Linked DNA regions of Cricetulus griseus. The protein of the gene in region 3 purifies or fractionates together with the protein of the main gene of each other region. This does not show direct contact. Links are inferred from orthologs where the notes say so. Each region holds a gene or a part of one and is shown on either strand. Other genes may lie near its edges. The genes, in order: Bcorl1, Fbxo42, Skp1, cotranscriptional regulator FAM172A, Zc3hc1, Fbh1 and Fbxl18.

What was found.
Region 1: the proteins of Skp1 (region 3) and Bcorl1 purify together in Homo sapiens (affinity purification with mass spectrometry; 3 studies listed by BioGRID and IntAct, with this or other methods). This does not show direct contact. The link is inferred for Cricetulus griseus from reciprocal best matches to the Homo sapiens genes SKP1 and BCORL1.
Region 2: the proteins of Skp1 (region 3) and Fbxo42 purify together in Homo sapiens (affinity purification with mass spectrometry; 8 studies listed by BioGRID and IntAct, counting the BioPlex papers as one, with this or other methods). This does not show direct contact. The link is inferred for Cricetulus griseus from reciprocal best matches to the Homo sapiens genes SKP1 and FBXO42.
Region 4: the proteins of Skp1 (region 3) and cotranscriptional regulator FAM172A purify together in Homo sapiens (affinity purification with mass spectrometry; 3 studies listed by BioGRID and IntAct, with this or other methods). This does not show direct contact. The link is inferred for Cricetulus griseus from reciprocal best matches to the Homo sapiens genes SKP1 and ARB2A.
Region 5: the proteins of Skp1 (region 3) and Zc3hc1 purify together in Homo sapiens (affinity purification with western blotting; 9 studies listed by BioGRID and IntAct, with this or other methods). This does not show direct contact. The link is inferred for Cricetulus griseus from reciprocal best matches to the Homo sapiens genes SKP1 and ZC3HC1.
Region 6: the proteins of Skp1 (region 3) and Fbh1 purify together in Homo sapiens (affinity purification with western blotting; 8 studies listed by BioGRID and IntAct, with this or other methods). This does not show direct contact. The link is inferred for Cricetulus griseus from reciprocal best matches to the Homo sapiens genes SKP1 and FBH1.
Region 7: the proteins of Skp1 (region 3) and Fbxl18 purify together in Homo sapiens (affinity purification with mass spectrometry; 3 studies listed by BioGRID and IntAct, with this or other methods). This does not show direct contact. The link is inferred for Cricetulus griseus from reciprocal best matches to the Homo sapiens genes SKP1 and FBXL18.

The regions. Positions count from the first base shown.
Region 1 is NC_048604.1:21,120,059-21,124,443, forward strand, and holds the start of Bcorl1 (BCL-6 corepressor-like protein 1), read right to left. Parts: upstream 2,810-4,385; 5' UTR 2,736-2,809; intron 2,192-2,735; 5' UTR 2,112-2,191; intron 1,266-2,111; exon of another isoform or gene 969-1,265; intron 1-968. UniProt on the Homo sapiens protein: Transcriptional corepressor. May specifically inhibit gene expression when recruited to promoter regions by sequence-specific DNA-binding proteins such as BCL6.
Region 2 is NC_048595.1:12,099,383-12,103,647, forward strand, and holds the start of Fbxo42 (F-box only protein 42), read right to left. Parts: upstream 2,892-4,265; 5' UTR 2,658-2,891; intron 1-2,657. UniProt on the Homo sapiens protein: Substrate-recognition component of some SCF (SKP1-CUL1-F-box protein)-type E3 ubiquitin ligase complex. Specifically recognizes p53/TP53, promoting its ubiquitination and degradation.
Region 3 is NC_048600.1:66,413,813-66,417,176, reverse strand, and holds the end of Skp1 (S-phase kinase-associated protein 1), read right to left. Parts: intron 3,010-3,364; coding exon 2,869-3,009; intron 1,490-2,868; coding exon 1,454-1,489; 3' UTR 593-1,453; downstream 1-592. UniProt on the Homo sapiens protein: Essential component of the SCF (SKP1-CUL1-F-box protein) ubiquitin ligase complex, which mediates the ubiquitination of proteins involved in cell cycle progression, signal transduction and transcription.
Region 4 is NC_048595.1:298,681,876-298,686,020, reverse strand, and holds the start of cotranscriptional regulator FAM172A, read right to left. Parts: upstream 2,852-4,145; 5' UTR 2,679-2,851; intron 1-2,678. UniProt on the Homo sapiens protein: Plays a role in the regulation of alternative splicing, by interacting with AGO2 and CHD7. Seems to be required for stabilizing protein-protein interactions at the chromatin-spliceosome interface. May have hydrolase activity.
Region 5 is NW_023276806.1:197,435,238-197,439,662, forward strand, and holds the start of Zc3hc1 (nuclear-interacting partner of ALK), read left to right. Parts: upstream 1-1,514; 5' UTR 1,515-1,544; coding exon 1,545-1,690; intron 1,691-4,342; coding exon 4,343-4,425. UniProt on the Homo sapiens protein: Required for proper positioning of a substantial amount of TPR at the nuclear basket (NB) through interaction with TPR.
Region 6 is NC_048596.1:228,531,147-228,534,834, forward strand, and holds part of Fbh1 (F-box DNA helicase 1), read right to left. Parts: intron 3,038-3,688; coding exon 2,907-3,037; intron 2,803-2,906; coding exon 2,667-2,802; intron 1,673-2,666; coding exon 1,482-1,672; intron 1-1,481. UniProt on the Homo sapiens protein: 3'-5' DNA helicase and substrate-recognition component of the SCF(FBH1) E3 ubiquitin ligase complex that plays a key role in response to stalled/damaged replication forks.
Region 7 is NC_048597.1:79,453,339-79,457,026, forward strand, and holds part of Fbxl18 (F-box/LRR-repeat protein 18), read right to left. Parts: intron 1,328-3,688; 5' UTR 1,325-1,327; coding exon 1,112-1,324; intron 420-1,111; coding exon 1-419. UniProt on the Homo sapiens protein: Substrate-recognition component of the SCF (SKP1-CUL1-F-box protein)-type E3 ubiquitin ligase complex.

The DNA.
Region 1 (4,385 bases), on a different chromosome or scaffold from region 3:
GACCCCTTGCCTTCAGGCCTGGCGCGAAGCGGGTTGAGGGCTTGCAAGCCGAGTCTCCCACCAGGCTTGCCGGGGCCAGTATGAATTGCCCCCATCTCATCCTCCTTCAATTGGAGCACCCTCCCCGCCTCGCCTGGCCCGGTAGCCCCCGCCCCTAGAGCGAGGGCAGCGGAGCCTGGGCGCTCCGAAGTCATCCCCCGCCTTTTTTCCAGGGACTCGGATAATTGCCCCTGCCCCCATCACAGCACTCCCACTCCCGAACCCAGGCCCCGCCGCCACCTAGGGGTACCCCTTACCCTATGGTTCCTGCACCCCAGAACAGGGGAGAAAGCAACCCTGAGAGCACCCGTCGCACCTCCATCTCTAAGGTTGGAGAGCATTTTCTCCCGGTCTCTTCAAGACTTCATCACGGACACCCCCCCCCCCAAAAAAAAATAGCAAGCCCTTTCTCGCCCTACCCTGTTGGCCAGGTTCCCTTCGGATCGTCGGATCCTTGGATCAGGGTTTGGGGCCAGGTACTTCCAAGACCGTAGCCTCCACCTCCCTTTCTGTAGAGTGGGGTAATTCCTATGGTTCCCCCCTACAGTAGCTAACGACCCCCGTTTCCATGGAGACCCCCGCCCAGCCAAGAGGAAGACTCTCTTGGATCGTGGAGAACAAGTCTCACCTGGCTAAAAGAGAAGGAGGTCGAAAAGGGAATAGGGCAGGGCACGGATGGGGTACGAAGGTGGGAAGTGGAGGGGAGCTGTCCCGAAGGGAGGGGCGAGCACAGAGAGAGCTCCAGGGAGCTCTACGTCCGGGGACACCGAGAGGACGGCGCCCCCGGGGGGCAAGCGGAGAGGCTGAGGGCAGAGGAACGGACAGGGTTGAGGAAAGGCTTAGGATAGCAAGAAGCGGGTGGGGAAATACGAAAAAGCCGGGGAGTCAAAAGGGGTGGAGGGGTTGGGGGAGAGAGAAAAAAGACGCACCTGTTCCCGGGTCGGCTCCGCAGGGAGGCTCAGGCCGCCACCCGAGCTCCCTCTCACCCTCTTTGAACCACCACCCGCCTAACACTGCTGGGATCCGATGCCCCCCTCCGCCCCTTATCGCCACCGACCTCCTTCTCCTCTCACGGCGGCGGCGGTCGGACTCTAGGAACTGAGAGGAAGAAGGGAGGGCTCAGCAAAGCCGAGGAGAGACAGAGCCACACACTGGCAGCGCCGCGGCGAGCGAAAGAGTGAGGGGGAGAGCGGTGTGTGTGTGCCTGTGTGTGTGAGAGAAGCCTGGTGGAGTGGGTGCCGGTCGCAGAGCTCGACGGGAAGTGGAGTCCGGCCTTGTTCGCGGGCGGCGCCAGCCAGCGCTGAAAGATACTACAACTCCCAGAATGCTCCCTAGGCGGGGGGGGGGGGGGAGGAGGAGGCGAAGGGAGGGAGCAAGCATGAGAGGGAGGGACTAAAGCTGGGAGCAAGCGGCGGCGAAGGGGGCAGAGCCAAGCAGCCCCGGTGACACTGGGAGGGGAGGGGAGGGGAGGAGGAGGAGGAGGGGATCGCTGAGAGAACCCAGCGGATTCCGGAGAGGGAGGCAGTGGTAGCTGTAGCAAGCTGGGCAAAAAGATAGACTCCCAAGAAAGGCGGAGGCACTCAATCCGCGGGGCTCCAAGAGCTCCACGCCCCCCACCCCGACGCCCCTCAAGAGGGAGGTTGAGGAAGGGAGATGATCGGGGTACTGAGGCCAGAGCGTCGGTTGTCTGCCTTCCTTCCAACGTTCTCCACCTTATGCCCCGACCTGACTTTCTCAGGCCACTAGTGACAGAACCAGTGTGCAAATGACTCTTTGAACACATCCCCAGACCTCCCCTGCCCCGGTACCACAGAGCACACGTATTCAGTCCCCTTTTCCCAGGAGCCCGAGGGAGGCTCCCCTTGCAAGCAGGGTGTGACTCTTCCATTCTTCCCGCACCCCCCCACCGTCGTCGCCACCCTCCATCTCCTTCCCCGGAACCCTCCCCGAAGCTGGGGCTCGCCTTTCTCTCCCCTAACAGGGAAGAATCCGTTGGGGGAAGGCGACTACTCGCCCCTACTCTTATCCTGGGCCCCAACCCACCAGCGTCCCCTTAGCGTTGTCCCCCTCACCGAAGTAATAGTGGGGGCGAGCGGAGTTGAACTGGCGTCTACTTCTCCTCTGACACTAGCTGTCCTTCGCCACGCCGACCCTGTAGAAAGATATAGAAGCACATTAATGCTCCCGTAACCCACCCTCCACCTTCGAGTCTCCACAGACATGGTTCACAGTAAAGAGGTTGGTGTTGGAAGTGAGCTGAGAGTAAATCCCAGTCCTCAAACCCCATTCTAGTCAGGAAAATCCAGGGATCCGTCCTTTTCCTTAAAAGCCCTCAAAGACCCTGGAAGGGAGGGTGAAATTATCTAAACCCCAGTGTCCACACGACGCCAAGCGACGTTACCTCACATGAATAGGATACAAACTAGGCTGTCCCCAAGGGAGGAAAAAGTGCAACCCCCGACGCCTTCCACCCCTCAAATGCATACCCCTAGGAGATCCAGATGGCCAAGGATGAGGGGGAGAAGAAGGGGTGCTGAAAGAGTGAAAGGATTGTGGTGGGGAGGGTCCGCGGCCCCCAAAGAGCAGAATCCAGATGCTAAGAGGTGGGTGGGGGGTGCGGCATATTGCAGACGGCGTCTTTCCTCAGTTTTCCGGGAATCGCCACGGAACACCGTCTAACACTGGGAGTTGCTTACCAGTCAGTCCCCTAACCCCATTTGTGCGCATAAGGCGACCGGAGCTCAGCCGAGAAGCCCGGGCACAAACTCCGCGGAAGCTGGCCTTCGCCGCCGCCCGCCGCCGCCGCCGCCGCCGGCGCTGCCTCGGGCCTCCCTCCCTCCCTCCGCTCCTCTCGGCCGCAGATCTACCTTCGCCCCCGGCCGAGGCCAGACCCCGCTCGCAACTCCACGCCCCTACTCCACCCCCTGCTCTCCCTCCCCTCGCCCTCTCCTCGCCGGTCGGGCCCAGCCCCTAGCGCCGCCCCGCCCTAGCGCTCGGTCCAGAGCCCAGCAAGTGCCCCCGAACTCGCCCCCCGCCCCACGCCCAGGCCAGTCAGGCCAGGCCTGCTTCCCCCCCTCCCGCCGCGCCCCGCCCCCCGAATCCACGTCCCACTTCGCCACCCAACTCGGCCCGGTCCGGGTTCGGCCCTAGCCCACGCCACCGGAGTCCGTGGTTCGGTCCGGTGTACGGTCACCCACCCCGCCCTTGCCTGGGTGCCGGCCTGCGTGCCCTCGCTAGCCCGCCCAAGCGCGCGGTCCGGGTCGGGGTGCCGGCCTCGGTCCGGGCGGCGTTGCAGCGTCTCCACGAGGGTTCGGTTCACGCAAGATCCGAACCCGCTCAGGGTGGGGGCTGCGGAAAGCAAGTTTCTTTATCCTTCCCCCCCCCACACACACACACAACCCCCGCCGCAGGGCCACGCCGTTCCCGCCCCCGTCACAGCGCCCCCTTCACCTGGGCAGAGCCCCCTGGCTGCTGTCGCAACTTTGCTCTTCTCTACACCGCCCGGGAAGCGGGCGAAGCGGGAGTAGCAGGGAGGTGGCGGGAGGGGGGTGCTGGGATCAGGCCGCTGGGCTCCGGGAGGACACGTGGGGGAGGAGGGGAAGGAGGAGGAAGAAGGGGGCGGGCCTGCAGTTCTCGGGGCTCCCCCCTACCAGCCCCGGGGAAGCCGGAACCTCGCCGGGCAGCCGCAGACCCCGCACTGGCCACGGGGGAAGAACTGAGCCACCTTCCCCAGCCAGCTCTCCGCTCCAGGAAGGGAGGGGGGGGTGCCGCAACGCCGTTCGGGGTCGGAGAGCGATCGTTTTCGCTCTGGTTTTGTATGTAACACGCTCTCCCCGTTTTTGACTCGGTCTATGCAGGAGGGAGGGGGTCTTGCCTGAAGGGAACGCCCCCGCCAGACACCCCGCCCTTCCTCGGACCCCCCACCCTTGGCGACCTCGGTGCGTGGTTCTGGCGCTCCAGAACTGAGGCCGCGCTCCGGCGAAGCCCCAGCCCGGCTGCCGAAGTGGGACAGGTGCTAGGGAAAGGAAAATGCCTGGTCTCATCGCCTCGTCTCGCGACTCCCGCTCGGCCCACTCTTCGTGGCAACCTCCCGGGCTGCAAAAACCTTGGGTCACCCTCAGTGGACAGCCCTTGCTTGCCTGTGGAAGCAACTGGGCTGCCGGGGAGACCCGAGGGAGGAAGGGGGGAACGGAAGGTCTATAAAGAGAGAAGCTTAAAAGACTTGGAGAGGAAAACCTGCCTAGAAGACGACCGAGGGCTGGGTTTCTGCTTGCTTCTCCCCTGGGCTCTTGAGACACCAATCCGAGCCCCCTGACCCTTCCCCTTTACCCTAAGGACAGCCCGCC
Region 2 (4,265 bases), on a different chromosome or scaffold from region 3:
AGAAGGTTGCTATCACACAGCTTCCAGAGGTAGACATTAAGAAGCATCCTAGGGCTAGAGAGATGGCTCAGTGGTTAAAAGTGCTTACTGCTCTTGCAGATCCAGGTTAAACTCCTACCATCCACACCAGATGGCTCACAACCACCTGCAACTCCTGTTCCAGAGGATCTGATGCCTCTGGCCTCTGCTAACATATGGATTCTCTCTAGCCCTGTCCCTAAATCTCATTCTCCCTTTCTTTCTCATGCACAGACACACATACACATTGTTTTTAATAATATAAAAATAAAACGGGGACTGGAGAATGGCTCAGAGGTTAAAGAGCACTGACTGCTCTTCCAGAGAACTGGGGTTGAAATCCCAGTACCCACATGGCAGCTCACAACTGCCTATCATTTCAGTTCTGGGGGATTCATGGCACCAGGCACACACACATGGTACACACAAATGCGCATGCAGACAAAATGCCTGTACACATAAAATGAAATGGATCAAGCTAAAAAATAAAACAACAAAAACATGCTGGGCGTTGGTGGCGCACGCCTTTAGTCCCAGCACTCGGGAGGCAGAGGCAGGTGGATCTCTGTGAGTTCGAGGCCAGCCTGGTCTATAGAGGGAGTTCCAGGACAGCCTCCAAAGCAATACAGAGAAACCCTGTCTCAAAAAACAAAAACAAAACAACACACACACACACACACACACACACACACACACACACACACTCCTTAGCTGTTTTTCCTGAGACAGGTAAGGAAACTTAGCAAAAACGCTGCAGAGAGTTCCACCATCAATACCTGATGACTACGTAGCATAGCAACACAACAGTTGATGCCAAGGAGCATAATGTCAAACCACCACTGATTCCAGGACCCTCTACTAGCAAATTAACACTCAGAATGGCCCTCCAATCTCCTACCCTTGGTTCAAGTCTCTATCTTTGGCAAAGACACTAAGGAAATCTACTCATTTCTATAGGAAACGCTGACTTAAGAAAGCAGGAAAAATGGCCAAAAAACTGCCTAATATTAGATGAAATAATTGTAATTTTAACTTAATAGTTGGCATTAAAAGCTGGCTGAAGGCCAGGAGTTGGTGGCGCACTTTAATCCCAGCACTCGGGAGGCAGAGGCAGGAGGATCTCTGTGAGTTCGAGGCCAGCCTGGTCTCCACAGCGAGTGCCAGGATAGGCTCCAAAGCTACACAAAGAAACTCTGTCTCGAAGAACAAAACAAAACAAAAAAGCTGGCTGAAGTACAACAACAACAACAACTCATGGCTCAATGTAGATTGAATGCTATATTAAATTGGGTTTATCTGAAGCAAACAGCTATAATATACAAACTGATCAGCGTGCAACAGAAAAGACACCCCACCACACTAGACAACTGAATAAGCTCTGTTAGAATTTGAGAGAGCATCCCTCTCTAGCTTAAGAGCTACAGACTGAATTCTAAGTGAGGGTGTTTCTTCGGCAATTTCCCTTGTCCCTTTAAATCCATGATGTCATCATTCTTAAGCACAAGCAAAGCCCGATTTGTTACAAAAGACGTTTGGTGTGTCCAAGCCAAAGAGATGGTCCCAACAATTCACAACACAATTCCAACTGAAGCTATTCTTCCTCAATGAAAAGGCCACCAGGCATCAAACCGTCTCCTCTACCCGAAAAACTAAACAAAGTCTCTCAACTACTACATTTCAACAACAACAATAAAAAGTTGTTGCAAGGGGGAAAAAAATAACAAAATAGTACAGTGTTGCCTCCAGCAAGTGAAAACCGGTTATGTGTCTGGTTCTGCATCTAGATCCATCGGAACGCTCCTACAGAAGGGTCCAAACATTTTGGCCATTGAGAAACGAAACGAAGCGTTTATTTCCTTATTAAAACTCAGAATATCCAACAGACAAAGCAAGCAATCGGTTGTTCCAAAGGTTTCGAACCAACTCCATCATCTGAAGTTTCTCTGCTCAAGACTACCAGGATCTCACCCAATTATATTTTTTTCTCGATTCACAAACTCGTCCCCACCCTCCACAATTCTCTGAACAGACAATTCTCATCAGGGCAAGCCTTCCTCAGTCACAGCGTGGACTGCTGCTGTCTCCAGCAAGGAGAGCTGCAGTTCCCACTCCTAAGAGAACATTCAAACGGCTAGGGGTCAGGAAGGGAACTGCTTGTGTTTCAATTTGTCAGCCAGCTCCAAAAAATCATCTCTTTGTAGCCGCAGCTTCCCAGACGCCAGCCCCTCGCCGCCGCCGCAGCCGCAGCCGCAGCCCCAGTTCGGGAGGGCAGCCGTCTCCCGCTCTTCTCCGAGGACTTAAGGGCTTCAGGGGGCGGGGTGAGGCTCGGTGACACCCCGAAAGCCATTCGTGCCCTGGCCACGCATCCTCTCCCGGCCCGGGCGAGTGAGGACCAGAACCACCCTGCTGAGGAGAGGGCACAGGTCTGCGCCCATCCCGAGGGCAGGCTGCAAAGGGGCGCCTGTCCCCACCTCAGCCAGGGGCACCGAGGATGACGACAGCAAGACCCCAGGCCCGCCAAGACCCAGCCCGCGCAGTACACGGGGCCCGCGCCGGACTCGGGGTGCCCGGGGTGCCCGGGCATGAAGCGCAGGAGGCGTCGGCGCCCGGCTGCGGCCGCGCACCGGGAGAGGCCTCACCTGGCCCAGCCCGCTCCGCGCTCTCGGCTTCGCGTCTCCGGCGACGATGGCGAAGGAGCCAGGGCCAGGGCCGGAGCACGGCCACTCTGCCTCAGGCCGGTGCTCGCCGTGCTCGGGGAACCGTCACAGCTGGCGGGACCCGGGGCCGCCCGGAGCCGCCATCTTCCTCCACTCAAACGCCGCCGCGGCCGTCGCCGCCGCCGCCGCCGCCGCCGCTGTCCCTGATGCCGCCGCCGCCGCCGCCGCCGCCGCTGCTGCTCAGGCTGGGAGAAGACAGCGCGCAGTGCGCATGCGCCGGGGCGGGGCGCAGAGGAAGCGCGCGCGCACACACGTCAGCGCGGCCGGCCTGCGCGCGGTGGCCGCTGGGCGGCGCCATATTGAGAAGGGCCGAAGGGAGCTGAGCGCTCCTGGACTGTCTGGAGTCGGCGCGGGTCCCTGGGCTGCCTTCCTGTTGGTTTGAGACTAGAGACTTAGAAGAAGTCGCCTGTGTCCCCCCCAGGGTACCCACTGAGCACAGAGAAGGGCGGTGGCGAGCGCAGGTCATCTCACCGCGTTGGAAGCCTTTGGAAACTGTAGCAACAGCTATATTGCTACCACCCTTTTTTTTTCTCTTTCCTTTCCTTTTTTAAATAAATGAGGAAGCCCAGGCTCAAAGCTGCCCACGTAGAGCGGGGGCCCAGGAGGAAACAGGCCTCTGGGTTGCTCTGTGCTTCCCACTGTGGCCACCACCAGGGTGTGGGGTCCCGCAAAGCCAGACGGTGGTCTACATAGTGAGTTCTAGGACAGCCAGAGCTACATACTCAAGATTCTGTCTCAAAAGAAAAAGTATATAAAATAAAAAGAACTACTTCATTTAAAATAAAAATAAAAGTAGCCGGACGGTAGTGGCTCATGCCTTTAATCCCAGAGGCAGAGGCTGGTGACAGCCTGGTCTACTGAGCGAGTTCCAGGACAGGCAGGACTACATAGAGAAACCCTGTCTAGAAAACAAGAAAACGTGTGTAGGTGAGAGCCGTCTAGAAATTATCCCTCAGGTTTGGTTTAAGTAAATGCCAGATACAGAGACTCAAGGGCTTTGCTTCGCTTCAACTCTTGTGCAACTGGAATATCCTAAAACACGGAGCAATTTGCCCTGGGATAAAATAGACTTCCTAGGCTAGGTCTTGGGACATAGGACTGGGTCAGAAGCTAAGTACCACAAGGCTTGGTGGCACTCCTTTAAGTCCCAGCTACACAGAAGGCTTAAGGGCAAGAATTACTTGATTCCAGTTCAAAACCAGTTTGAGGAGTTTCAATCTTTGAAACTTTTATGTTCCTCAAACAAATATTACAAAACCCCCTGACATACAGTGTGTGAGAAACTAAGAAATTCCACTGGCATGTCATGGAAGTTCATTGCTAATTCGAGCACTCAGGAGACAGGGGTAGGTAGATTTCTGAGTTCAAGGCCAGCCTGGTCTACATAGTGAAAAATCATCTCCAAAAAAGAAAGTCTTGGCCTGCAAAATGGCTGAGCAGGTAAGAATGCTTGCCCCAAGCTTAAAGACCAGGAGCCTCAAGGTAGAGGGAGAGAATCAACTCTAGCTCCTGCAGGTTACCCTCTGACCT
Region 3 (3,364 bases):
CCCCCCCCCCAAAAAAAAGGAACTAAGCAAAGCTTTAAGGGAGGACGGGCAAACTAGTAAGAAGGCTCAGTAAGCAAAGGTGCCTGCCACCTAGTCTGACAACCTGAGCTTGATCTCTGGGTCACACAAGTGGTAGGAGAGCACTGACTCCCACAAGTCATCTTCTGACCAACACAAATGTGTCACAGTTGTGTGTACCAAGCATGCAAGTACACACACAAAATTAAAAAATGTAATTAAACTACTTTAAAAAGAAAAAAAAGAACTGACTAAACATTTGGTTTCAAGGAACCACACAAATGCTAAGAGTCTCCAGTTAAAGACAAACCACCTAAGAATCTCTTCAATTAAAAAATAACCAAACTTAGCCAGGCGGTAGTGGCTCACGCCTTTAATCCCAACACTCCAGAGGCAGAGGGAATGTGATCTCTGTGAGTTCGAGACCACCCTGGTCTATAAGAGCTAGTTCCAGGACAGCCTCCAAAGCCATAGAGAAACCATGTCTTAAGAACCGCCCCCCCAAAACAAAAACAAACCCCCAAAACAAACAATATGTTAAGTGAAGAGACACATTTATATCCACAAAAGCAACTGTTTACTACCTATTGTATTACTTTTTATTGAAAAGCATCTTGCACTTAGTAAGGCTGTTTTCTGAGTTTTGTGGTACACTTTAATGTTAAAGATTAAATAATTTTTTACATGCAAGTAGTGTCTTTCCCCATGTGGGAACAATGATGATAAAAAGATGACATACCACATGAAGTAAGTCTTTTTTAATTGAAAAGCAAAGAAAATAATCTAATTACAGCCCCCTCCAAAACCAAACTGGGTAGTAAACTACATCTCTAGCAACATATTAAAAGCTGAGATTAAAAATTAAAGGAAAAAAAAAAGATAAAATAAGTCCTCAGATCCAATTAAGAGAGCCCAGCTGTGTACAAGCTTACCAGCAGCAGAGAGGATGAAAGACATCCTAATTCTAACAACCCCACTCACAACATTAACTTCAAGTTGCCTTGTTCAAGTTTCCGACTCATGAACAAAGATCATGTTTTGTTAATTCTATTTCAGAATACTTCTCATAAGTTGTTTTATTTACAATGCCAACTTACAAAGGCTCACTGAAATTAACTGGACAATGAACTAGGCAGAAATGGCTTTACAGAAAGAGGGAAAGCCCAAATGCCACTTTCCACAGAGAACCCAAAGTTCAGTTTTATTCAGAGTAATGAAGAAAAAAAAAAAAAAAAAAAAAAAACAACCAAAAAACAAAAACTTCTACTCATATAGAAGAAACTCAGCCATAGGTCAGATCTGTACTGGAACTACACATGCAGTGAGGACAAGGCTGTGTTTGTCTACTGTTCTCTAATATTAACAATTATAAACAAAGCAGTGCAACTAGCATTTAGAACAACCCTTCTAGTGTTACAGTGTCAGGCACAGTACTTCACTTCTCTTCACACCACTGGTTCTCTTTGCGTACCTGGAAGAGACAGACAAGTAAATACCTTTAGTGGTCTTTTGTGAGATGGCTAAACACTACCTATACTATCCCATCAGTAGCCTATGTGATGTGAGAAGAGCAGATGGGAAGCTGGGAAAGTACCAGGAAAGAAGAGTAGACTTGGTGACTCCCACTGTACATCAAACAGCACATACAACTGGGAGCTCTAGTCCCACTCTCCAAGCTAGTAAACAAACTACATTTATCCACTTTTGTACGTACTATCAGGCTCCACTTTCTTTTTATTTTTCTTTGCGGGGTGGGAGGTGGGGGGGTTGGGGGGGTTGTTTGAGATAGGGTTTCTCTGTGTAGCTTTGGAGCCTATCCTGGCACTTGCTCTGGAGACCAAGCTGGCCTCGAACTCAACAGAGATCCACCTGCCTCTATCTCCCGAGTGCTAGGATTAAAGGCGGGAATGACCAACGCCCAGCCCAAAATTCATTTTTCTTATGTTTACAGTTAACAAGGGGGGAAGACAACTGGGGGGATGGAGATGGCTCAGCAGTTTAGAGCCCTAGCTGCTCTTCCAGAGGTCCTGAGTTCAATTCCCAGCACCCACAAGGTGGTTCACAAGGATCTATAATGGGATCAAATTCCTTCTGTGTGCATGAAGACAGAACACCCATACAAATAAAATAACGAATAAATAAATATTTTAAAAAATAGTATCAGGCTGGACATGACTCAGAGGTTAAGAATCCTGTTTTCATTTAGTTCCTACCCCACAACCACCGTAACTAGAACTCCAGAGTATCTGATGCCCTTTTCTGGCCACCATGCTCACACACATGAATAAAAATTAAAAGTCTTCAAGAATAGTATCAGCCAGGCATTGGTGGCGCACACCTTTAGTCCCAGCACTTGGGAGGCAGAGGCAGAGGCAGAGGCAGAGGCAGAGGCAGAGGCAGGCAGATCTCTATGAGTTTGAGACCAGCCTGGTCTACAAGAGCTAGTTCCAAGGCAGCCTCCAAAGCCACAGAGAAACCCTGTCTTGAAAAAAAATTAATTAAAAAGAAACAAAACAGTATCATCTAAGTACTTAGATTCAGAAACAGGTGAGTAGTATGTGAGACACAGAGGTGCACATTATTCCTCTGTATCAAGACTTTTGTTAATGTTACTGGGTTTTCTAAGACAAAGTTTCTCTATATAACCCTGGATGGCTGACTAACTCATAGCCTGCCTCGGCCTCCCAAATGCTGGGATCAAAGGCATGCACCACAAGGTATTTAAAAAGGCATCCTAGGTAAGCTGTAGCCCTAGCCCAAGACCTCATGATAGGCACCATTTTTTTGTCACTGTTACTGGGTTCCAGTTTCTTTAAAAAAGTAATCAAAAATAGGCTGTATCCTACTTACCTGGGCCTCTTCCTCTTCAGTAAAGTCATTTTTGATATTGAAGGTTTTACGAATCTCCTCAGGAGTTTTCCCCTTAATCATATTGGCCACAGTCTTGCACGTGACATCAAGCAAACCTTTGATGTCTAAGTAGTTTGCAGCCTGTAAATGACAGCTGGTTTTTAATCATGTGTACTGAATCTTTAATTAACAAGCTACATCAAATTGAGCTTAAAACATACATCTTTTAATGAAATTCTCTATCCTTTAATACTAATTACTTTAATTTAACTTCGCCTTTTACTAACTTTCCTCTAATATACTGCTTTACCTTTATCCCAAATTTTAATTGTTTTATCTCAATTCAGTTAAAAATACTAATTTAAATTTTTTCTTTTGGCTGATAAATAACTAGGAAATTACTGAATTTTCAAATATTTGCAATTTTTTTCCATACTTTATTGTGAAGCAAGGTCTTACTATGTAGCCCTAAATGTCCTAAAATTTGCTATGCAGA
Region 4 (4,145 bases), on a different chromosome or scaffold from region 3:
CAAAACCATAGATAGTCCTATATAGGTATGAGTATGGCAATTACTGTTTTAACAGGTTTGGTGAATGTGGAGAAATATTCACAACACTGTGGGAAAATTAGAACCCTGTGCACTACAGGTGGGAAAGAAAAACCAGGAAGTCATTGTTGCTCAGATTTTTGTCACTATAACAATTACTAAGCTGATCAACCTATAAAGAGAAAAGGTTTACTCTGGCTCTCAATTTTAGACTTTTTGGTACATCTGTGGCTGGCCTTGCTGCTTTTGTAGCTGTGGAAGGGAGCACATTATGGTGCGAACAGAAAGAAGCCCAAGGCAGAGAAAAATGCTCATTTATTAGTCAAGAAGCAGAAGCATACAGAGGAGGAAGGTATTAAGGTTACACTGTCCTCTGCAAGGTCATGCCCTCAATGGTCTAAAACCTCCAACCAGGACCATCTTTTTCATCATAGCACTTCTCTAGGGACCAAAACTTAAGATATGAACATTCAAGATATAAGGTATTCCAAATTGTTTCATTTGTGAATATATAACCAGAAGAAATGAAAGTAAGACAGGTGTTTATGCACACAACAGAATCATTTACAGTAGCCAAAAAGTAAAAGCAACCCAAGTTTCCACAGATAAACAAATAGGTGAAAAGGAAAACGTTTATACAGTGATGATTATAGTCAGCTTTTAAAGGAAGGGCTTTCTGACATATGGAATAACATAGTTGAAACTTGGGAACATTATTCTAAGTTTAAAAAGCCAGTCACAAAAGGACAAACGCTATTTAAGTACACTCATATGATGTGTCCATAGACGAAGAAAGAAGCTCCATTGTTGCTAGGGGCTAAGGGTAGTTGACTATGAGGAATTAGTGTTTAAAAGGTACAGAGCTTCATCTAGGGAAGATAAAAATACTAAGACAAACAGCAATGATGGTTACACAACGGTATAAACATATGTTGTGTTAGTCAACTTAATCCTTGAAATTATTAAAATATTTTATGTTAGGTACATTTTACTATAGTGTTAAAGTAAAAGAAAAGTAAAATTAGCACAGAGAAGTATTCGGTAAATACTGATGCTATTGGGCAAACTCAATCTAACAAAAACAAAGGCAGCACATGTTACATCAACTGACTAAATATTGGTAGTTTGGGTAAAGCCTAATGAAGAGCATGGAAACACCTTAATGTGCACTGACCTGGATCCTCATCACCATGCTAAGTTGCTTGTTATTAAACATGATCTCTCATGAACATAACAAATCACTGAATAGTAAGTCTCCATACTGGTAACCCTGCATCTTTACTATTCCAAGTGACAACAAATGTATTTCAACCTCTCCTAGGTGTTCACATAAAACATACCCCAGCTACAGAGTCAGCCTCTTAATCAGTTCAGACCTCTACTCAACTACCACTTTAGCAAAGAGACTTCTCTAGCATAGCACTCCCATCATCCTCTCCCCCCTCTACTTGCTTCATTTTTCCTTGCGATCCTCACTTTTTATGCATTTGCTTATGGATTGTTCTCCACCCACTAGAATAAGAGTACACAGGAGTTTCTATTTTGTTCACTACTGTCTTCTCTTAACATGGACATTTCCTGACTTATTGAAGGTGGCTAGTCAATGTACTAGATGAACAAAAAGAGCAATGCTCACAGCTTTATAGATCCTATTTCGCTCTTGGCCTAGATACTGTTCTACCATTTGTAAGTGCTGCTGCAGTCACAGTCAAAAAGCTATTCCAGTCAGTTTCACTGGTTGAAGGGACCAGACTCCTAGTTTAAAACTAGGAAGGTTTACAGAAAGCTCTGCCACTGAAGCCTGAATTTAGCACCTAAAGAATGCTCTGATTCAGCTTCAGAATGAGTAAGGTCATGTGTCCCTTTCAAGAATGGATAAAGAACAAGGAGAAACAGAACACTTTTGACAGTGCATTAAGACAAAGACAAACCATGAACTTTAACAGCAGCACCACACTGCACCTATTTATAAACAAACAAAACAAGGCAGTATCAGGTTCAGACCACAAAACTTTCCCTCAACAACTTTTTTGAGGATTTGGGGAAAACAGACAATGCTTTTTGTCTTTAAAACGCAGCCCAAACACAGGTAAACAGAAGTTACTTGGCCCAAAAGGTTTAGAAAACGAGAAGCACAAGATGCTGCTTCCAAATGTAAGTAACTTTAGGAAGAATATATACATTCTACTAAGGTTCATACGATACAAGCTTGGAGGGTATTTTATAACTACACTTTAATGTTTGCAATAAATGTATGCCAAAGCTTTAGCGGTTAACGCTTTTTGCATAAAAACATACAACTAAAAACAACTTCAACCAGACAACTGCAATTCAGTAAGTGGAGGATCCCTTGCTGTGTCTAAGGTCTCTGGTGATAACCAGAGCCTCGTGGGCTCAGATAGCAGGCTAGCCACCCCAGGACACACGTGTTCCTCCGGCCTGGAGAGTGGATAAGGCAGATGGAGGCAACCCTCTGCAAGGTCTTGGACACAGGTCAGAGATGTGCCCTGGAGACGATGCGTGGCTTATGACAGTCAGGAACGGGGGATCGGGGTTGGGGGGGGAGTGGGGGGAGCCTTCCGCCCCAGACCCGGCCAGGCCAGCCCCTCCTGGGTCTCGCGGCGGGCGGGCGGGCGCAGAGGTTGCCAGTGCGGTCCTACCTGAGCTCTGCCCCCAACTGCAAGGCTGAGGGGTTAGCAGGAGGAGGCGTGGCTTTCCAGATCGCAGGGCGAACTCCCTCCAGCGCTTGCTACCACTTTCTCTCTCGGGATCCGCGCCCCGACCAAGTTCGAGTTGCACTTCCGGGGTCTGCAGGGGACGTACACATCATTACGCATGCGACGGCCGCAGCGCCACCAACCCGGAAATGGGCGGGGCGGGACTCTGCCTGTGTTTCTGAGGCGCTGGAGGTGCTGCCAGCAGGAAGCTGGCCGGTGTTAGTGGAGAGCCTATCCTAAAGCCTGTTCTGGAAGAGGAATTCCAATATTCTCTGTGAGGCTGGCCTTTAGTGAATTCCCCAGGCTGGTTCATGGTTTACGTGGCTTCATTCTGCCTGTGCTCCTCAAGATGAGAAAGGAGGCCCATGCTTGAAAGATTGCATTTACCCCAAAATTAAGAGGGGAAGTCAATGCTAGCATCCTAATGACAGCTGGCTCAAATGGGAAGTGCCTTGGTGTTCTGCTTTTCCAAAAATGTTTGAAAGATGCATCTCTTAAGGGGTAGATTAGGGGTGAGCAATAGGCGCAAGTGGTTTAAATTTTTTTATACACTATTCTGATTTGTTTTTAATTCCAAAACCACTGTTTGGCCAATGAAAGCCAAAGCAAGCACTGGAGACAGGTAAAAGACTGGCCCCTCCGGTAACCGAAGGAAGTCTGACAGCTAGCAAACCTGCATTTGTAATATTTTCAAAGAGGAGGTTCCAGAATTCTTGAAAGTATATTGTACCTCACTCCCATAAGGTGTACTTCTCCATCTCAGCTCCTGCTTCCTTCAGAACAAAAGACAATGATGTGATTTATTGGCAGTGTGCCTGATCCACTAAAATGTCAACTGGATGACAGCAATGACTTTATCTTGTCTTTTTTAAGGTATCCTCAACCAGGACAACATGCCTGTCACAAAATATATAATAAAAGTCATTTGACATAATTTCTGTACTATTACACTAGTTGGAGAAACTTAGTAACAGATAGGACAGGAGGGTGGGAAGTCTGGGGAGGTAAGAATGGGTGAAAAAAATGTAGCAGTGTAAAGGAATGCTCTTGAGGAAAAACAACCTATTGAAACAAGCCAAGAATGTCTGAGTGAAAGCTATAACATTGAAGAATGTTAGGGTTTCATGTCAGGCTACAGTGAAAGTAATTTGTAGGGTAGAACCTTCTACTGAAGAAAAGAGGCTCTGAAAAGCTTTGTATACCGTGAGCAATTTGAATTTTGTGCTTCAGACGGGGGTTTTTCAACCATAAAAAGCAGCATACTTTCATTTTGGTAGACTGACAACCGTGAATAAGTTCGTTAAAAATAAACCTGCAGGGCTCAAGAGATAGTTTAGCTGTTAAGAGCATTTACTAATCTTCCAGAAAACCTGGGTTTTTTTTTCCCTGCACTCACATCAGGTGGCAGGT
Region 5 (4,425 bases), on a different chromosome or scaffold from region 3:
GTTCTAGGCCAGGCTGGTCTACAAAGCAAGTCCCAGAACAGCCATGGCTCTGTTATACAGAAACACTTGTCTCAAAAACAAAACAAACAAGAATATTCTTGTTTGAGGAAAACAGGATGTTTTCAGGAAAACTAGAAATATCTTTGGAAGCTATTTTCAGTTTTGCTGAAATTTCTGGCTCTTGGCCATCAAGGCATATAAACAAATTCTGGACTAAGAAATCCTTTGTCCCTTTCTCTTTTGGAAACAGGGCCTTCTTATAGGGCTCTGGCTGACCTGGAACTATGTAGACCAGGTGGCCTCAGACTTGCAGAGATCTGCCTGCTTCTGCTTCCTGTGTGCTAGATCCGTAGGTTTCAGGCTCCAGCGTTTGAGAACAGTGCTGGAGTCAAGAGTCCATAGGAAATAAGTCTTCTTTTTTCACTCTTCCTACACATCTGTCATCCAGCTGGAGATTTTGGAAGATCTCTTGCAGATTTCTTCCCAACAACCTCATCTGCCTCAGTACTAAGATTGGGGTTCATTCCCACATCTCTGTTGTTCTATTTTTAAAAAGTGATCGCCAGGTGGTGGTGGTGGCAGCGGTGCACGCCTTTAGTCCCAGCATTAGGGAGGCAAAGGCAGGCAGAAGGTTTGTTTATGTTGTGTGTATATATGTGCGCCTGAGCATATGTATGTACACCATATTCATGCAGGTGCCCGGGGAAGCCATAAGAGGGCATCAGATTCTCTGCGTTTGAATAAAAATAATTCTTTAGCTGGACGTTGGTGGCGCACGCCTTTAATCCCAGCGCTCGGGAGGCAGAGGCAGGCAGATCTCTGTGAGTTTGAGGCCAGCCCGGTCTCCAGAGCGAGTGCCAGGATAGGCTCCAAAGCTATACAGAGAAACCCTGTCTTTTTTTTTTTTTTTTTTTTTTGAGGCCAGCACTGAGTTGCAGGCCAGCCAAAGCTGCACAGAGAGATCTTGTCTTGAAAACAAACAAGAAATTTATTTACCTAAATATGCTAGTTCACCTGATAAATCACCTACGTTCAATCTTTTTACTTATTTATTATGTATCCAACATTCTGCTTCCATGTATATTTGCACACCAGAAGAGGGACCAGATCTTATAAGGTTGCTGGGAATTGAACTCAGGACCTATGGAAGAGCAGTCAGGGCTCTTAACCTCTGAGCCATTTCTCCAGCCCTCTACGTCCAGTCTTAAACATTGTAGTCTTTTTGTTTGTTTTTCGAGACAGGGTTTCTCTGTGTAGCTTTGGAGGCTGTCCTGGAACTTGCTCTGTAGATCAGGCTGGCTTTGAACTCCACAAAGATCCGCCTGCCTCTGCCTCCCGAGCGCTGGGATTAAAGGCGTGCTGGAGTTAAAGGTGTGTGTTACCGCCCGCCAGGCCCTATAATCACTCTTTAATCCTGTTAGATAACCAGGAAGGCAGAGGACCTGAGGTCTGTATTTAGAGAGGCCAAAGGGGTGGGTCTTAACTCAGAACGGAAGTTCCTGAGCCTTCAGACGCCTGGGGACAGAACTGAGGAACGGACCAAGATGGCGGCTACCAGTGAGGGGCAGCTGTTTGCCGCGGGTATTGAAAAGACTTGGGGTGCAGTTGTTCGGTCCCCTGAAGGGACACCCCAGAAAGTTCGGCAGCTGATAGATGAGGGGATTGTCCCGGAAGAGGGAGGCACAGAACCGTGAGTGGCTGTGGAGACTTGGGCCTGGAACGGGGGCGGGGGCGTGGCGTACGGTGACTTCAATCCGTGACTCGGTGGCTGGGGTTGAATTCTTCCTGGGGTCCGAAAGACGCTGGGCTTCTCTAATGGCTTGGCTTCGATAGCCTCCGGATATACCTGAGGCTGCATCACTAGCGAAATCTTGTTAAAAGCCTTTTTTGAGGGCGAAGACTGTTAGCAGAATAAGCAAACCTGAATACTAATTAGGGTTCATGCGCCGGGTGCTCCCAGTCTGAGGACGCTTAGGAAGGAACCCCTTTTCCGAGGAGCACTCTTAAAAACGCATAAAGCAAATGTATACGGGATCATAATTGAAACCAAGTACACGGTAAAGTAGTTATCAAGATAGTCAAGGGAAGTTAGGTGGTGACATGCCATTTCCCTCCCGCCGTCCTTCCTTAATTAAATAGTTAATGCTGGGCGGGGAATACAGCTAGCCCAATGTGCACTAAGCCCCGGATTTGGTCCCTAGCACTACATTAAGGCGGCAGTAGCGGCACACAACTCTGAGGCGTTGGGGGGACGGGGGTGGCAGAGCTAGGATCTGAAGTTTCAGGCCAACTTGAGGCCCTGTCAGAGAGAGATGTGGAGAGTGGAGAGAGGAACAAGAGAGAGAGAGTTAAAGTGAGTACACTTTTTTTTTTCTTGGTGACAAATTCACAGATACTGCTTAGGCTACAGTGGGTTTGGCTTTTCTTGGTTTTTTTTTATGTTTGTTTGTTTGTTTTTGTTTTGTTCTTCTTTTTCCGAGGCAGGGTTTCTCTGTGGCTTTGGAAGTTGTCCTAGAACTAGCTCTTGTAGACCAGTCAGGTTTGGCTTTTCTTAATCTTGAAATTGAAGCCATGCTATATTTCTCAGAGATTTATGAAATAAATGTTATATAATTCTCATGTAGGTTTAGGGATCTTCTGATCCCCCCACCCCAAAGAACGCCTCCTTCTTGAGGTTCTCTGTAAATGTCTGAGGAAGATTCTTGGAATATTTTTTTTCTTTCAAGTCACAGTTATTGGTGTTATCTTATTGCTAAAGGGGTTTCTAGCTGAGAATAGTGGCTTACACTTTTAATACCAATGCTTGAAAGTCTGAAGCCTATGTTACAAAAATGAGATCCTCTCTCTAAGAAACAAAACAGAGATAGTCCAGATGGCTCGGTAAACACTTGCTGTGCAAACCTGATGACTTGAGTTTTCGCCCTGAAACCCACTTAAAGGTGGAAGGAAAGAACTGATTCCTGAACTCTGGAGGCATGCCATGACACTCAAACTCACACTCATATATCACACACATGCATGCACTAAAAATAAGTAAATAAAATAAATAAAACAAATAAGCAAACAAATGGGTTCTTTCTGTAAACCAGGCTGGCCTAGAATCCACAGACCTGCCTGCCTCTGCCTCCCCAAATGCTGGAATTAAAGGCGTGTGCCACCACTGCCCAACTTCAAATGGGTTCTTGTTTTAACAGTTCTGCCTTCTCCTATCCCAGGAGGGATGTGGAAGGCTGGTGGGTGGAATGCCTTTCATGTTTGAAATGTTTGGTTTTCTTTCTTCTTCTTCTTCTTCTTCTTCTTCTTCTTCTTCTTCTTCTTCTTCTTCTTCTTCTTCTTCTTCTTCTTCTCTTCCTCCTCCTCCTCTTCCTTCTCCTTCTCCTCTTCTTCTTCTTTTGTTTGTTTGTTTGTTTTTCAAGACAGGATTTCTTTGTATAACATTGGCCTTCTGTAGACCAGGCAGGTCTCAAACTCTCAGAGATCTCCCTACCTCTGCCTCCTGAGTGGGATTAAAGGTGTGGACCACCACTGCCTGTCCTATTTGGTTTTCTTTACATTGTATTTTTCTGAAGCTTCTTTTTGAAATAGAAAAATCTTGTCTTTGACTTTGAATATCCTAATTGAGGTTTGAGAACAAGGGTCCATGTAGATAGCAATATTTTTGTTATTCTCTCTCATATGAAGAGTTAAATTTCTGGTCCAGCAGGATGGCTCATTAGGTAAAAGTGCTTGCCAGGAAGCCTGGTGACCTGAGTTCAAGATCTGACTCCACAAAGTTGTTCTTTGACCGCCATACATGTACCCGGAAGCATTCATTCACATATATATCACATATACACACACATATGTATGTGTGTACACAGTAGTAATCCCAACACTTTGAGAGGCTGACGCAGAAGGATTGCTGCTGATTCCAGGCTAGCAGCCTGGGTTACAGAGTGAGACTCTGTCTCAAAAAAAGAAAAAGAATTTTTTCTCCAAGGTGGTTTAAATTGTATTATTATTAGTTAATACCTGAATCCTTGAAGGCCTTATTTTGTATTTACTAAGGTTATGGAAAATATTATTGGAGAACTGTGAATGAGCTAGGAGAGTGGCTAAACTTTAAAGAGTTGTGTCTGCCAGATTGAAGAATTCAGAGTCTATTTAATAAGTATTATGAAGAAAAAGGCTGTATTAAGCAGAGGAATGGCCTGACTGAAATGGTGACAGTTGAAATGATTTTTATAAACTTGAAATCTAGTTTGGGTTTGATTTGTAATATGTGTAGAATAGCTAGACTCAGAAGATTTAAGCAGAATATTACAGAGACGAGATCAGTAACACTCCTACTACTTGGTTTCAGAAAGGACACATCTGCCACATTCCAGTCAATCAATGGATCGCCTCAAGCAGAACAGCCCCCATTGGAATCTACAAGCAAAGAAG
Region 6 (3,688 bases), on a different chromosome or scaffold from region 3:
TCTGCTCCACTCCAGAGTGAAGAGCTGATCTCAAAGCATCACTCTTTTTGGTGAAAAAAGATACCTTTAATAACATTTCAGGGGCTGGACATACAACCAGAGCAACATACCACACTACTATGGACTGAACTATATGCCCCTCCTGAAATTCAAAAGCTGAAGCCCTAATACCATAAAAGGACTGCTGAAAGAAAGGAAGGAAGGAGAGAATTATGATTCAGTGCAGTTACAAAGCTACAGCCATGATCCACTCGAACTCATTTTTAAAAGAAGAGACACAATGTCAAGTGTTCTGTCTCCCCTGCTTCCATCTCTCTCTTCCTGGGATACAGAGAAGATGACTCACTAGGAACCCAATCTTCCCCACCTTGTTCTTGGATCTCCAGCCTCCAAAAGGGCAAGAAAGCAAATGTCTGTGGCTTAAACAACCTGGTTTATGGTACTGTTATAGTGTCCATAAACACACAGAATTGTTCTGTACTACCTTACCAAGGATGATGAGGTCACTGCTGTGTTTCTCTAGGGGCTCACTAATCGCAGGGGTCAGTCTTTTCCTAGAGATGAAACCCTCTGGGTTTCTACCTCTCTAGAACTGGATGCATGATGGCTGCCTGTCTTCACCACTTCAGATGAAAGGGCAGGCCATTCCATATATACCACCCATACTCAGGATTTTAAAGATCTGCCCTCCCCTGGTCCCCAGACATCTCTCATAATCTTGCACTAGCTTCTCCCATATTCAATGCACTCTGCCTCACTGAACTTTCCTGGTATTTATCAAATTAATTCCAACTTTGGGTCCTTAACTTACCTCTTCTTTCTCTTAAAATGCTCTTTCTCATACCTCCAAATGGAGGTTCCTCTTTGACATTCAGACTTCCTCAGAGAAGTGTTTGCTCATTCCATCTAAAACAATGATCCCCACTGCCCTCTCACAGAGCTCTGCTCCACTCCCATTACAACACACATTCCCTAAGGCGGCTGTGTGCTTATGCACTGCCTGTCTTCTTACACTGCACAGGCAATGTTAAGTATTTTCACAGTGGACTCTCTTGTGCCTGGACAATTTCCAGCTTGCTATTTATCTTTGCATACTTTATCACTGTCAAGATAATGGTGAATGAGCAACCAACACTCTAGGCCTTTCTTATATTAAGAAGACACAGTCATTAAGACTCCCACTATAGTCCGCTCCAAAAGTGAGCAAGGGAGAAAAAAAAAAAAATGCTAACGTTTTCCTAGAAATATGTAGCCAGGTGTGAGTACTGTGAGGCATTTCACCTTCACCTCTAGCTTCAACACCCAAGAACATAGAAACTATGTGAAGAAATCTTAGTTGACCAGCAGATGATATTCACAAAGCACTTGGAATTGCATTTCCACAGCCCAGTCCCCTTACACACTACACAGGGAGAAAGGAGGCGCTAGGACAAGTCTAGGGCATTGTGATTTATCATAGCAGCTCCTTTCCAGGGTGTTACCTATTGCTGATGTTAATCCCCTTCTCCCTCATGGCATAAAGGAGCACAGCTATGCAGTATAAGGTCTCGGTGACATCTGGCATGGTCACTGTGGAGCTGGGTCTCCTGAGGCAGAAGAGCAGATGCTGGATGTCGTTCACGCAGCTGGAGAGGAGCACCATGACAGCCACCAAGGCCCAGACGTTAATGCCCTTCAAAGAGAGGTATACAGGATAGGAGGAGAAGCTAGACTCAGCCACAATCTGGAAACTAGTGAGGAAACTGATAGACATTTCCAGCATCTTATTTTACTGTGAATCTATAGTAAGACATTTAATCTTTCTGCCTCTTTCAAATTACCCAATGTATCAACAAGGAGAGAGCCACCTCAAGGGCTAGAGAAATGGCTCAGTGATTAAGAGCATTTGCTGTTCTTGTCCAGGACCTAGGGTCAGCACCTACATGGCAGCTCACAACCGCCTGTAACTCCAGTTCCAGGGGATCTCTTCAGACCTCCACAAGCTCCTATACTCATGTGTGGACCTATCTACATAAAAATATATATATAAATGCATATATTGGGTTGGGTCTGCTTTTGTTTTGTTTTGTTGTTGTTTTTGAGATAGGGTTTGTCTGTTTAGCCCTGGCTCTTCTGGAATTTGCTCTGTACACCAGGCTGGCCTCAAACTCAGAGATCCACCTGCCTCTGCTAGAATTAAGGGTGTGTGCTACTACTGTCTGGCTTATATTATTTTTAAAATATAAATGGCTATCATAAAGAAACCCTATCACTCCAAGTGTTCAGAGACTAGATAACTAGCATTCAAGAAGCTGAAAATAGGGCCTTTTATTTCTCCAAATAGATCATTAACAAGATTAATGCTATTCAGAGATTCAATCAAAAATTTGAATATTGGGCTGGAGAGATGGCTCAGCAGTTAAGAGCACTGACTCTTCTTCCAAAGCTCCTGAGTTCAATTCCCCCGCAACCATATAGTGTCTCACAACCACCTTGAATGAGATCTGGTGCCCTCTGCTGGCATGCAGGCAGAAGACTCTATGCATAATAAATAAAAAAAAAAAAACTTTAAAAACATTTTTGAATATATATATTATCTTCAATTAATCTTAATCAGCAACAGACTTCCAGTGAGAAATGATGTCACCATCCCCCAAAGTAACCCCACAACCTCTCAGTTCACATACCCCAGCAGATGCATAGAGGTCAGGTAGTTGTTGGCGCATGCACGCCTCAGCCTCCAAAAGCAGAGGGTGATCCCTCAGGCTCCACAGCACCCTCTCAGGGTCTACACTTGGGGAACATTTGGTAGTGGCTGTGTATCTGTAAAAGGCTCAGGAAATGAGTCCAGAAGGAAGACAATCGTGAGGAAAGACATGAGAAAGGACTTTGAAAACTGTCTCACAAACTGGAAGAAAGACACTCACCGGATGAGGTTCAGCACACATAAGTCCGAGTCCTTTTCTATGCCATGGCTCAAGAGAATGCCATCCACTTTGCTGACAGCCTGCTCTTCATTTATCAAGTATCGATGATACAGCTTTTTCCAAGGAATGAACTATGTAGTTGAAAAACAAAACGAAATAACATCCAGGCCATGATTCTTAGAAAGACTGAGACACCAACAAAGAAAACCTACCAAATACAAAGCAAATACAGCTCCCAATCCAAAGCTGGGCAGACCAGGGAGAAACTGTCTGCTTGAGTTGGAAACTAGGACAACTGGGCCTTGGTCTTGGCTCTAATACAAATGTCACAGGAGCTAGGAAAAGCTAGCACTTGGTTTTCTTATCTGAAGTACCAGGTGAGCAGCACTTCCAAGTTCCAAAAGCCATACTCACCTTAAGTCAACTGTTACATGACACAAAGGAAGGCATGATGGAATGATAATGCTACACAGTGACATCTTCACCAAAATGTGACAACATAGAGAGTAACACCATCTACTAGAGTATACAGATACGAAACAAACACTGACAGAACTGAATGAAGAAATATTTGGCAGAGATGTGTAAAGAGATGCTGGATTTGAACACACTACAGACTACTGAACCTAACAGATCCATACAGATGCTCAATCCAACAGGAGCAAAATCCAATCTCATCCCAAGCCCCATGAACATTCTCCACACTGGATCACATCCGGAGTCATAAGCCAGTCAATCAATTAAAATGGCTGAAGTTATACCACGAATCTTTTCAGTAACAA
Region 7 (3,688 bases), on a different chromosome or scaffold from region 3:
ACCATGAGTTGGCCGGAGAGGACAGCACCCTCACGTGTGCGGTCCAGGATCTCAAAGTAGAGCAGCAACTTCTGCAGGCTGGCACAGCAGGGCACCACACCATAGGATGGTGTGAACAGCGTCTGCTTGAGCTCCTGTACTCGGCTCAGCGTGGCCTTGCACTCACTGCTCAGCTGGCTGGCATCGAAGCCGGGGCTCACGTCGATGGCCAGTGAGCGCAGATGTTGCAGGGCTGAAAGCACCTTAGACAGCCTCAGGGAGGTGAGGTGGCAGCCTGACAGGTTCACCTTCACCAGGCTGTGACAGCGGGCCACATGCTCGATGGTAGAGCCCGACAACCAATAGCAGCCTGCCAAGTTCAGCTGCTGGATCTCCTGACCAATTTCCTTCACCAGCTGCTTCACCTTGTCCTCACTGGCCTGCAGAATGCGACAGGGCAGGAGAGACATGTATTTTTTAAAGACAAGGCCGCACTTTGTAGCCTTGGCTGGCCTTGAACTCTGTATAGACCAGTCTGGCCTTGAATTTACAGATCTGGCCTTGGCTCCTGAATGCTGAGATTATAGGCCTATGCCATCAGGCACACCTGTCTGGGGTTTTTTATTTCTTTTTGTTTGAGACAAGGCCTTACTAAAGTGCTCTGAGCTGTGATCACCCTGCCTCAAATTCCTGAGTGCTGGGACTACATGTGTATCCTACCACAGTGGGCTCATGTCCCAGGTTAATCAGATACTTCTACTTCGGCCCTGAGCAATGGGGGACTCATTTTGCAGCAATGTCAACTGTGCCATCCACTGTGTCACTTCACAGGGACCTTCTACAATCTACCCTGTGGTGCAATAACTCCACCCTAGGGTACCTATGGGGAAGGAGTCCCCCGCTGAGCCCTGTATCTGAGGCCCAGGCTCTTCCCTCCCAGAACTACATCCACATGTTCTATGCCCTCCTGCCATGGGACACACCACCTATCCTCTTCTATCCTGGGTCTGTCACTGAATCCTAATGTGTGGCTTTTCCCAGCTACATAGTCTTCTGTGCAAACATCAGTACCACCAGCCCCCACAAGCTAGCACGTTGGTTGATCCTGACCTTCCACCCATGCCTGAGTCACCTGGTAGTCCTTCTGAAGCAGCACGGTGTGCACCAGGCTCTTGTCCAAGCACAGGGCCGAGAGCTTCCTGCAGGTGCGCCGCACATTGAGAACCAGGTCTGTGCTGGGGACATGGCTCAAGATATGCAGGAGGATCTCATCTGAGAAGCCCAGCAGGTGGGTGTCACCTGCTGCCTCTGCAGCTGTGGGGGCAGCAGCAGCATCGTTGGACATGTCCTAGAAGTGAGGGACAACAGAGGGAGGGGGTGGACCAGTCATTAGATGCTAGCTGGACAAGCAGAAGGACGTGAGTTTGGATCCCCAGCACCCACATAAAAAGGTATGCAAGGTAGCACCTGCTTGCAATCCCAGAACTGGGGATGCACAAACAGGAGGAGCCCACCCCCACAGTAGAGAAATTTTACCAACTCTTCACCAAAGGGTGAAGAACAGAGTTCCCAGAATCTTCTCTTAGAACTCAAACCAGGACACGAGGTGAGAAAACCACTGATGGCCACCTTCAGCCAACTCCCTGATGTTCTGGCTTTTCCTGGGTGTTTAGACAACTTTCTGCCAGGTGGTGGTGGCACATACCTTAATCCCAGTGCTCAGGAGGCAGAGGCAGTCAGATCTCTGTGAGTTCAAGGCCAGCCTGGTCTACAGAGTGAGTTCCAGGACAGCCAGGGATACACAGAGAAACCCTGTCCCCCCAAAAAAAACGGGGGGGGGAGGAGCTTGCTATAAAGCCCAGGTTGGCCTTCAACTCACTATGTAGCCCAGTATGAGCTTGAACATGGTGCTGGCAATATATATGCATGTACCACCACGCCTGGCTCCCAATAATCACTTCTACTCCCTTTCCTTCCTTGTTGACAGTGTCTCATGTAGCCCAAACTGACCACAAACTGGCCTGATCGTCCTGTCTCCACCTCCCGGGTGCTGGAATCACAGGAATGCACCATCAGGCCCAGTCTACCCAGTGCTGGAAATAGAACCCAGGGCTTCATGTCTGCTAGGCAAGCACTCTAGCTGAGCCACATCCCAGCCCCCTAACAGCCTTTCCAGTATACAATGCATACAGGCCCCTGAACCACAGCCTATCCTCTGCCACTCTGCTCCCCAGGCACATCTCCCTGAGAAAGAGCAAATTTCACACAAGACACTTAGCAATTTTCATAGGTACATACTATATTGAATTTTCCCTTTTTTAACATACATGTAACTCTGTGTGTGTGTGTGTGTGTGTGTGTGAGAGAGAGAGAGAGAGAGTGTGTGTTGGTGCACAAGTGTCTGTATTAGATCAGAGAACAACTTGTAAAGTAGTGGATGTCGGTTCTTTCATCCAATATGTAGATCTCATAGTCCTGGCTAGAGAGATGGCTCAGAGGTTACAAGTGCATACTGCTCTTAAGGACCAGAGCTCAGTTCCCAGCACCCATGTTGAGTGGCTCCTGCCTATACTTCAGTTCCAGGGAATCTGATGGTTTCTGTGGGCAACTGCACTCACATGCATATACCCCAACAAACACACACACACACACACACACACACACACACACACACACACACTAATAATAATAGCCAGCTGTTGATGGCACACACCTTTAATCCCAGCACTCGGGAGGCAGAGGCATTGGGACACACTGATCCTATGCTTCCAAGTGGTTCCTTCTCCACCTGAGCCCAAAGCTCTGCTTTCATCTCCAGCCCCAGCCATTCCCTTCTTCACTAGACCCTGTGTTGTCTCAGAGCAAAAAAATGAAGTCGTAAGTTAAGAACTACCCATGTATCTGTGTGACGGCACACACCTGTGATCCTAACACCTAGGAGGATGAGGCAGGATTATAAAGTAAAAGCCAGGGGGCTTGAGAGATAGCTCAGAGGTTAAGAGCACTGGCTGCTCTTCCAGAGGTCCTAAGTTCAATTCCCAGAAACCACATGGTGGCTCACAACATCTGTTATGAGATCTGGTGCTCTCTTCTGGTGTGCAGATATACATGGAAGCAGAATGTTGTATACATAATAAATAAATAAAATTTTAAAAAAAGATCTTCGACGGGTGTTGGTGGTGCACGCCTTTAATCCCAGCACTCAGGAGGCAGAGGCAGGGGGATCTCTGTGAGTTGGAGGCCAGCTTGGTCTCCAGAGCAAGTGCCAGGATAGGCTCCAAAGCTACACAGAGAAACCCTGTCTCGAAAAACCAAAAAACAAAAAAAAAAAAAAAAAAAAAAAAAAAACCTTAAAAAAGAAAAAAAGGAAAGAGAAAAGAAAAAGAACTACCCTTGGGCTGGAGAAATGGCTCAGAGGTTAATAGCACTGGCTGCTCTGCTCTTCCAGAGGTCCTGAGTTGAATTCCCAGCAACCACAAAGTGGCTCACAACCACCTATAATGAGATCTGGTGCCCTCTCCTGATATCCATACATGCAGGCAGAACACTACACAATAAATAAATTGAGAGAGAGAACTACCCTTAAAGCTTCCTACGACCTCTTCTCTCCTGAGTCCTCCTTCCAACCACCAGTTCTCGCATGGATTTCAGTGCTAGACGGTCAGCTTGACCTTAAACTGGCGGTCTCTCTTATTCTTTGGGGAAACAG